Macaca fascicularis: one gene and its partner. The main gene of each other region encodes a partner of the protein of the gene in region 2 in a complex. Links are inferred from orthologs where the notes say so. Each region holds a gene or a part of one and is shown on either strand. Other genes may lie near its edges.

Evidence for each region.
Region 1: the proteins of COP1 (region 2) and TRIB1 are in contact, whole or in part, in a crystal structure (PDB 5IGQ), measured with the Homo sapiens proteins. The link is inferred for Macaca fascicularis from reciprocal best matches to the Homo sapiens genes COP1 and TRIB1. Residues at the interface, in NP_071902.2 of Homo sapiens: Ile423, Ser425, Val441, Lys472, Tyr491, Trp517, Asp534, Ala556, Asn557, Cys559, Ala576, Asp577, His578, Lys600, Ala601, Ser603, Thr618, Lys643, Asn644, Phe645, Phe699; in NP_079471.1 of Homo sapiens: Asp355, Gln356, Ile357, Val358, Pro359, Glu360, Tyr361.

Annotation. Positions count from the first base shown.
Region 1 is NC_088382.1:135,091,208-135,095,522, reverse strand, and holds the start of TRIB1 (tribbles homolog 1), read right to left. Parts: upstream 2,909-4,315; 5' UTR 2,346-2,908; coding exon 1,986-2,345; exon of another isoform or gene 101-1,985; intron 1-100. UniProt on the Homo sapiens protein: Adapter protein involved in protein degradation by interacting with COP1 ubiquitin ligase. The COP1-binding motif is masked by autoinhibitory interactions with the protein kinase domain.
Region 2 is NC_088375.1:33,768,645-33,773,144, forward strand, and holds the start of COP1 (E3 ubiquitin-protein ligase COP1), read right to left. Parts: upstream 2,814-4,500; 5' UTR 2,543-2,813; coding exon 2,136-2,542; intron 1-2,135. UniProt on the Homo sapiens protein: E3 ubiquitin-protein ligase that mediates ubiquitination and subsequent proteasomal degradation of target proteins.

The DNA of each region.
Region 1 (4,315 bases), on a different chromosome or scaffold from region 2:
GCAGCCTCCCAAACCCCTGAGGGAGCTGAGCAGAAGTTCTCAACGTTTGGGCTTAGAATGTAAGTTCCATTCACCTACTCCGTTTCCTCTGCCACCTTACCTCGGCCCCAGCTGCCCCCGACACCTTTAAAACCAGTAACACCTGGAGCTCTAGACTTGCAAATACCCAAAGGGTTACCCGCTTTCACACAGATCATTTGAAAGAACTGTCTCCTTTACATGTTCCCATCTTCCATCAGCTCCTGAGAGTTAAGCAAACCCCCCAACATCTGTGGCCCTTTCCTGTTTGCAGGCCACACTAGTGAGTGGTTGATAGAAGGAAGCCCCTGGCCTGTCCAGGAGCTGAAAAGCAGTCCCTGGACATGCATGTGTCTCCTGCAGACCCAAAGTGCTCAGCACAGAAAGGGCACAGAATGTGGTGACTCTGCAGCCTCCAAGGGGAAGCAGGGGCCAGAGAACATGCAGAGCTGTCAATAATCAGAAGGAACAGATGACTTGGAGGGGGAGGCTGGGACAATGCAGCTTTAAGCAACCTGCCTACAGTCCGACTCAAGTGTAAGTAAGCCGCCTTGAGTTACAATTCTCACAGGAGGGGTAGGGGATCCTGCGAATCGGTTTTTCATTTGTTTGTTTACCCCCCACACCCGACCCCACCCCTAAAAATGAGTAGCATCTCCTCTCTTCTAGGAAGCTGGCTGATCTCTTTAGAGGCCTTTTGTTTAGTCCAGTTACTCATATCCTAGACTCAACTGGAAACGGTGACACACGGGCTGTCACCATCTGGATTCAGCTATTATCTGCTCAGAGGAACTGGAAGGGGTTGCACAATGGCCAGACTCACCCCACCTCTAAGAGGCCTGGCTGCTCTGGCAATCCCCTGCTGCCCCCTCCTCCCACCCACCCCATCCCACCACACACATATGCTTGTCCCAGAACAGCTCTGAGCCCCAGCCACGGAGAAGAAAAGGGTTTTATCTCCCCCTATTAAACTGGGCTTGATCATGCGTTTGAAATTTCATTCGGGTTGGGCAGTAGGTGGCAGCAGCGAGCCCCGGGACGGGGTCGGGGTGTTGGGAGTGTCAGGTGAGTTGCGGAAAACGCAGAAGCGACTTAACTGGGGGCTGATCCTATCTTTCGGGTGAAAAGGAGCAGCCCGAGGGTGCTCTGGGGTGCCTCAAGCAGGGGTGTCATGCTCGCATAAAGTAGACTGTGGGAATGTTCTGCGTCTACCCGCGCAGGAGGAGGACCCGGCGGATCCTGTTTCTAGGAGCTGTGTCTCCTCCTCCTGGATGGGATCCCTACGTTCAAAGGAAAATCGCTGGCTGGAAAATAAAGTGAATCGAAGCGAGGGTTCCTGCCCGGTGTGGGCTTTTCAACATTTCTACTCCGAGCAGATTCCTCCGCCTCGGGTGGAAGACTCTGGGACTGCTCCCTTGGGAGGACGTGTTCTAGTCCCAGCGCGAATTCAATTCGGAATCCCCAAGGCAGGAGCCGGACACAGTCTTCCAGCGCTCTTACCACCTACAACTGAGCCCGGGTGCCGTGCAAACCCGGCAAGAGAGATGCCAGCTGCTTCAATCTCCTAGGAGGCACCCACTGCAGGGCGTCCTTCCAGGACATGGGGTGGGGGGGGGCGGGGGGTGGAGAGCGAGGAGAATGAGAGAAGGGGAATGGCATGGCCCTGGAATCCATTTCAATTCCACAACTTATATGGAACGCCACGCGCTACACTGGGCGCTAAGGAAAGGAACAGAAAGAGAAGGCCACTGAACACTACACTTCCTCTAGGCGCCCCCATTATACCACTCCATGGGAAACCCCTCAATCCACAAAAAGGTGAACCTGGTCAGATGGCGTCTTATCTGACCCCATCTACTGATCTGCCCTGTGCCCAGCCCAAGCGTTGGCCGCACCCCAAGCACCTTTGCCTACTACCCCGTCCTGCGCCCCCGACCCCAGCCGGGTCCTGGCCCGGGAGCGCCTACCTTGCAGCGCAGCTCGCGGCCAGTGTGGATGCACAGCGCCCGGGACACATGCTCGCGCTCGGCTAGGGGCAGCAGCAGGTAGTCGGCGATGCGGCTGGGCCCCGGCGCGCTCCCGGAGCCGCCGCCGGTCCCCGGAGCGGCAGGTGGGGGCTGCGGGCTGCAGGGCGAGCCGGGGGGGCTGAGGTAGTCCGGGGGGCTGGAGCACTCGGAGAGGCGCGGGCACTTGGCCGCCACGGCCGCCGCGTCGTCGGCGTCCAGCAGGCGTTTGGCCGGGACGCCTCGGGCGGCTGGGAACAGCAGGGCCGGGCCGCGGGGTTGCGAGGCGCCGCTCATGGCAGAGCGAACGGGACCGACCCGCATCCCGTCCTGGGCCGGGGCGGCCCCGGCTTTTTAAGTCCCGGGATCCGCGCGGGAAGACGCTGCGGGCTTGGCGCCGGCTCCGCGACTTCTTCCAGCCGGCGGGATGGAGTTTGCAGACTGCTCTTGGCTCGGCCCCCACTAGGGGCAAAGCAGGAGCCGCTCCCCGGCGCTCGCGTTGCACGCGGGGACCACGCTGGCTGTGCGTCCGGGGAGCGGAGGCCGGCTTGGGTCCCCGGATCCCCGCAGGCAAGGGCTCCCGGAGCCTCGCTGGGGGCGGCCGCCACTATTGTTGCCTAGGCTGCCGACAGTCCGGGAGGCAGAGGCGGCGGCGGCAGCGGCCAGCGATCCCGGCTTCCCGAGCCGCGAGGACAGGATTCAGTAGGCTCGGCGGAGCCACGAAGCAAATGCACTTCCCAAAGCGATGAGTCTCGAGCTAAAGCCGGGGGAACTTTTTCGCGGCGCTCGGGATCCTGCGCGCTCCTGGGCTCCGGGCGTGTAGGAGAGCGAGCGAGACGCGCTCAGAGAGAGTGACTGTGAGTGAGTGTGAGCGCCGCACCGATCCCGGCCAGTGCACTCCTCCTTCTCCTTTTCCTCCACCTCCTCCGCCTCCCGGTGACTCACGCTGTATACACACACACTCACAGGCCGGGCTGTGTAAACAGTTGGGAAGCCGGGTTGTGCAATGAGGTGGCTGCGACGACTCCGGCCTCGCCGCCCGGCGAGCAGTCTCAGGAGCGGAGGGAGGAGACTTGGGGGAGGGGAGGGAGAACAGGAGGTGGGGGGAATGGGGGTGGCCCGAGGGCTGGGGATGCTCGGGGCAGCGCGCTGTCGGGCACAGGTGGTGCGTCCCGGGCCGGCCTGGGCGCGCGCACACGCCCCCCGGGCTGGGCTGGGCAGGAGGTGGCGCGCGCCCTCCGGCAGGCCCCCAGCTCGGCCGAGAAGCCGAAGGAGGGGGCGGAGGAAAAGTTCCCGTGACGTAAGGGTCCGGGGAAGTGGGCGGGAGGGGCGGGGCCGCGGGGAGCGAAGCGACCGCTGATTGGTGCGCGCGCCTCATTCACAGCAAGCACAATGGGCTGCGGGCGTGAGGCGGGAGCGCGCACCACGGTTCTGTGCACCCGCCGCCCGCTGCAGCCCCGCGGCGACGCCTTTCGCCCCGGGGATACCCCCACCGCCCAGCGCCTGGGGAGCTCCAGTTGGAGCCGTGGGCGCCGCCGAGCCCCGGCTGCAGCCGGAGGAAGGAGGGGGATGGGGAGGTGATGAATTCCAGAATCAGTCATTCACCCCCACGCGGTAGTTCCGGGGAAGACCTGTGCGTGGTAGTGGATGTGGCTTTTTTTTTCTCTCTCTTTTCCTGCCCCCTCCCAGCTCTAATCCCCAGCGTCTGTTCGCTTCCACAAATAGAACCTTCTGTTGGATGAAAGAAAAGCAAACACTGGGCCTTCTGCGCTGCCTCCACCTCCACGCCCCCCCAACCCCCCCGCGCCTGCCGCCCGCCCGGATTGCACGGAAATAGCTTCTCCAGGCTCCCGGGCCGCCCCTTCGCAGTGACTCGCAGAAAGAGCTTCCTGAGCCAGGGCCGGTGGGAAACAAAGGATGTGGGGAGCGGGCGGAAGGGGCCCACGTGGCTGCCGCCAGATTCCTGCTCCCTCCCCAGCCTCCACACGCCCCGCAGGGTCTAGGGCCTGAGTGCCAACCCGGGTAGGTGGGTAGGCCGGTGGAAGTCATTCTGGCCACTGCCAGAGATACCTCCTGCACCCGGGCAGCCCGCGTGATTTGGGTGAGCGTGAAAGTTGTGCGTGAAACAACTTGGAATCTGTCATTTTTCTTTCTTGAATGAACCAGTTCAGGTTGGAGTCCCTGGGCACCCAACAATATAACTATTATCAGAGAGCCCGTCCTTGCACTTCTACTAAATAATTTTCTAAAACCAGGTCGAGCCCCAAGAATAAATCATTTTCCTTATTAATTCT
Region 2 (4,500 bases):
AGTTTGACCTTGGAGCATATAAGACAAGACCCAGAGCCAAACAGGAGGGGGGAAAAAAAAAAAAAGGATTCCTTGGGCCTTGCCTAATCCATATCATCCTACCCCAAGAGTCTGGCCAAAATCAAACCTGGCTTGAGTTTTAAATCAGACTCTCAATTAATTCTTCTGAATATTAAACCTCACCAGAAAAAGAAATAATTAACTAATGAGATTCTTAGAAAGTGGAATACTCAGGGCTGCGGTGGCTCACACCTGTAATCCCAGAATTTTGAGAGGCCAAGGCAAGCAGATCACATGAGGTCAGGAGTTCAAGACCAGCCTGGCCAACATGGTGAAACCCCGTCTCCACTAAAAATACAAAAAATTAGTCAGATGTGGTGGCAGCTGCCTGTAATGATCCAGCTACTACTCGGGAGGCTGAGGCTCCAGAATTGCCTGAACCCGGGAGGCAGGGGTGGTAGTGAGTCAAGATTGTCCCACTGCACTCCAGCCTGGGTGACAGAGTAAGACTCCGTCTCAAATACAAATTTCTACTCTTTAAAAAACTCAGGGTTCCCAATTCCCTATAGCATAGCCTACAGTGCACTGAAGTTCATACGGTGCCTGGCCAACAGTGAATGTCATACAAGTATTTCCTGAATGACAATGATCGATTCTTTATTTCTCACATCTTTTACTCAATTTTAGTGTACTTACATGGAAACTAACATGTTTGTGTTCGTTAAGTATACTAAAAATGAAAATGCAAACAGTGGCTAAAAAGACAACTAAATTCTGCACACCCCCCTTTGTTTCATTAGCTTATTAGCTACTCGCACTATCGACTGTGTAGACGTGCAAACACTTCTCAGCCCCAACCACAAACTGCTTGTTTATAAATAACAATCATACCTCAAATGTTCAATGAAAAACAGATTAATTCTGATCCAGAATAACGTACAAAAAAGCAGAAAGGTGAATAAAGACATCATTTTTCTGCAGGAACTAGAAACTGTAAGTCTAATCAATAACTTTCCTAACAGTTCCAACTTCTAGCTCTATCATATTTAACATCACCAACTCAGACCATCTTCAACTCTGATCTGAATCAACTTCCCTCATAACGACTGTGCAAGCAGCCAACTTCCTACATGCCTAATATTCGATCAACAATTTCCTCAAAAGGGAAAGTACAAAACACTACCAGTTCTTAACTAGCTAACAGCAATTACTTCTCATAATCCTACCAATATCTAAAACCCAATAAAAATTCCAAAACACTCTCAAGCAACACAATCAACTCCACCTTTCACTTAATACGACGACTAACCCCTCCATCCCAAATGTCCTGACTAAATGCTACTCTGTATCATCCAAGATGCCAACTATGATGACAAAATGTCTAAACCTAGCATTTCTCAAGTCAGAAGTTCCAGCATCCTCTGTTATCCAGTATAGTACAGTTACATCTGACACAGGGACGTTATTTAACAAATTTGGTTCTCTCTTTTCAAGACACTTGGTGGAAAAGTGAAAAATTTGTTAACAGACTTTGACTACAGTCGTCTTAACAGCAGATTCCTAAGTGGCCCATCCTTCGAAATGTCAGGAGAGACATATTTACACATGCATACGATGGGTACTTACATTATTATAAAAAGCATGTCTTTATAAGACTTCCATGCTTATGTTTACAGCATCATCTACCATACTTCAAATAAATTCTGACCAATTCCATCCCTCTGCATCCCAGGAAGCTTAGTCCTCTCCATTTGCAAATTTAATTCATCTCAACAAGTACTCCTGATTGACTGGGTGCTCAATTCATCAGAGAGCCAAAAATTTTAAGACTCAACCTCTTTGCCAACTTTGTTATCCAAAACCATTTATTTGACCTTCCACCCTCTTCCCTCTTTATTCCCTAAACTCCCTTCACTTCCTCCTCAGCAACACTTATCTACCTTTTTATTATCCCCACCCTGCCTGGCTACTCCAACATTCCTTCACTCCACCAACCTGCAAACGCTCGAATCCCTCTGCAGACACCACCACAGGACCAGTATCCCAGGCTCTCCAACAAGCCACCCCCCACCCCCGAGCCTAAGCGGCAGAAACTCATAATTTAGGGACAAGGAGGGCGTGCTCTTCAAACCCACCATACGAAGTCGTTGCTTTTGTCCTCGTAGGAGTTGATGAGCCCGTTGCAGAGAGGGGCGAGAAGAGGTCGCTTCCTGCTGCCGCTGCCTAGGCTGGAGCTGCTGCCTCCCACGCCGGCGCTGGGCCTGGCCACGCAGCTGTGCCGGGACAGGCCCGTGGACACCGCCCCGCCGCCGCTGCCCGACACGGCGGGTGCCACCAACACAGGCCGCACTGGGCCCCCGAGGCCGCCCGAGCCGGCGGGCTGGGCCGCCCCGCCGGACACCAGCGCTGCCGCCGAAGCCGCCACGGAAGGCGGCGACGGGGAAGAGGATAAAGACGAGGAGGCGGAAGTCACTGAGGAGGCCGCCGAAGAGCCGGGGCTAGTCCCAGCGGAGCCCGACCCGGCCTGGCGGCTACCAGACATCGTGACTCCCTCCCCTCCGGCCGGACGCTCGGAGGAGAGGGACCGCGACCTCGACCCTCCGCCGCCTCACCTCCTCTCCGCCTCAGTGCATCCTGCGGACGCCCGCTGAGCCGGGAGGTGGGGCTGAGGAACAATAAAGTTGCGTTTTTTTTTTAAGGCAACCACACAACAGCGTCCGACGGGAGGGGGCGGAGGAAACTAAAAAAGCGCAGTAGAAGACACTACCGCTGTCGAGGCCGCCGCCGCAGCTGTCGCGGCAGCAGCCAACCCCGACGCGCCGTGGCCGGCCGTGCGCGCGCGCAAGAGCGGCGGAAGAGGCGGGCGCGGCAGGGGATACAATTGGGGACGCAGCCGGGCTGCGCTCAAACACAAATGCCGCGCCCTCGGGGACTTGGGTTCCTGGCAAAGGGAGTCTCTCTGTCCCAAGCCGTTTTCGCTCCAGAAAACGTGCCAGAGAGCAGACCGTCCTAATGCAGTAAAAGAGTCGAGGAGAGTGGAATGATTGGTAGAGGTGGTGGGGTGGTTTGAAAGACGGGAATGTAGAGGGCGGAAACCCTCAAAATGCGACTGCGCACGCGCGCGCTGGGCGCGGACGCTCACACGTTCCCAGGGTATCCGCCCCAAGCGGAGAATATCGGCGCAAGCGCGGAGGCACCGTGTTACGCATGCGTGCGAAAGCACCATGGTCCGGAACGGGAAGAAGGAGCTGTCTCTTGCCTCCTGAGGGGTAGGCAGCTGCTTCCGAATCGCGGAGTGAAGGTTCTCGCAAGCTGGAGACTCACGGAAAGAACCTAGAAGCTCCGAGAAGTTGCAAACAGCACTGCATTGAACCAACGCCTCCTGCTCTACTGATGGTGATTCCACAGTTTTGTGAGGAATAAGTTAAGATGAAGTCAGTGAAATTTTCTGCAAATTGCAAACATTGTAGCAAGTGTTACCAATTTTATTAGTAGACCACGACTTCACTCCTGTATTTTGAAAAGCTGTTTGCCAAATTGAACATAATAATGGGAAAACAGATTTTGCCCAGTCAGACCCAGCTCAGTCAGAACCTAGGTTTATTGTGGATCTGATATAATTCTAGCACAAAACAAGGAAACCTAGCATTTAATACCACCAGAAAATACACAATTTCTGGTAGGCTTTTTTAGAATATTGAAAATTGATTGTAGGCGGGGGCGGTGGCTCGTGCCTGTCATGGGCAGCACTTTGGGAGGCCTAGGGGGTCGAATCACCTGAGCCTGGAGGCTGAACCTGAGGTTAGAGACCAGCTTGGGCAACACAGCGAAACCCCGTCTCTACAAAAAGTACAAATAATTAGCTGGGCATGGTGGCAGCAGGCCTGTAGTCCCAGCTACTCGGGAGGCCGACGTGGAAGGATTGCTTGAGCTGGGCAGGTTGAGGCTGTAGGGAGCGGAGATCGCACCACTGCACTCCAGCCTGTGAGACAGAGACCCTGTCTCAAAAAAATAGATGGATGGATGGATGGATAGATAGATAGATAGATAGATGGATGATAGATTTTCATTTGCTACATTCTAAGGGGTGGAAGTTAGAAACAACTGTGATTTTTATCCTTTTCAATTCTATCATTTTATGATTCTTATATATTTATTTGGGAGTAAAGTATTGTGAAAATACTCATGACTTAGTAAACTATTTGCGTATTCAAGGAGGTAAAGGCAGACAAAGATTTTTGATTTTTTTTTTTAAATGAGAATTACGTAATTGTTTTTAAATCATTATCCTTGGCTGCAAAAATCAGTAACGAGGTGACGCCAGTCGGAGACTGGACAGGAAGTTGCCGGGCACATGTTTTCGCGGAAGTATTTTTTGTGTAAGATTGTGGCTTTTGGCCAGGCGCGGTGGCCGATGCCCATAATCCCAACATTTTGGGAGACCAAGACCAGTGGATCACCTGAGGTCAGGAGCTCAAGAGCAGCCTGGCTAACATGGTG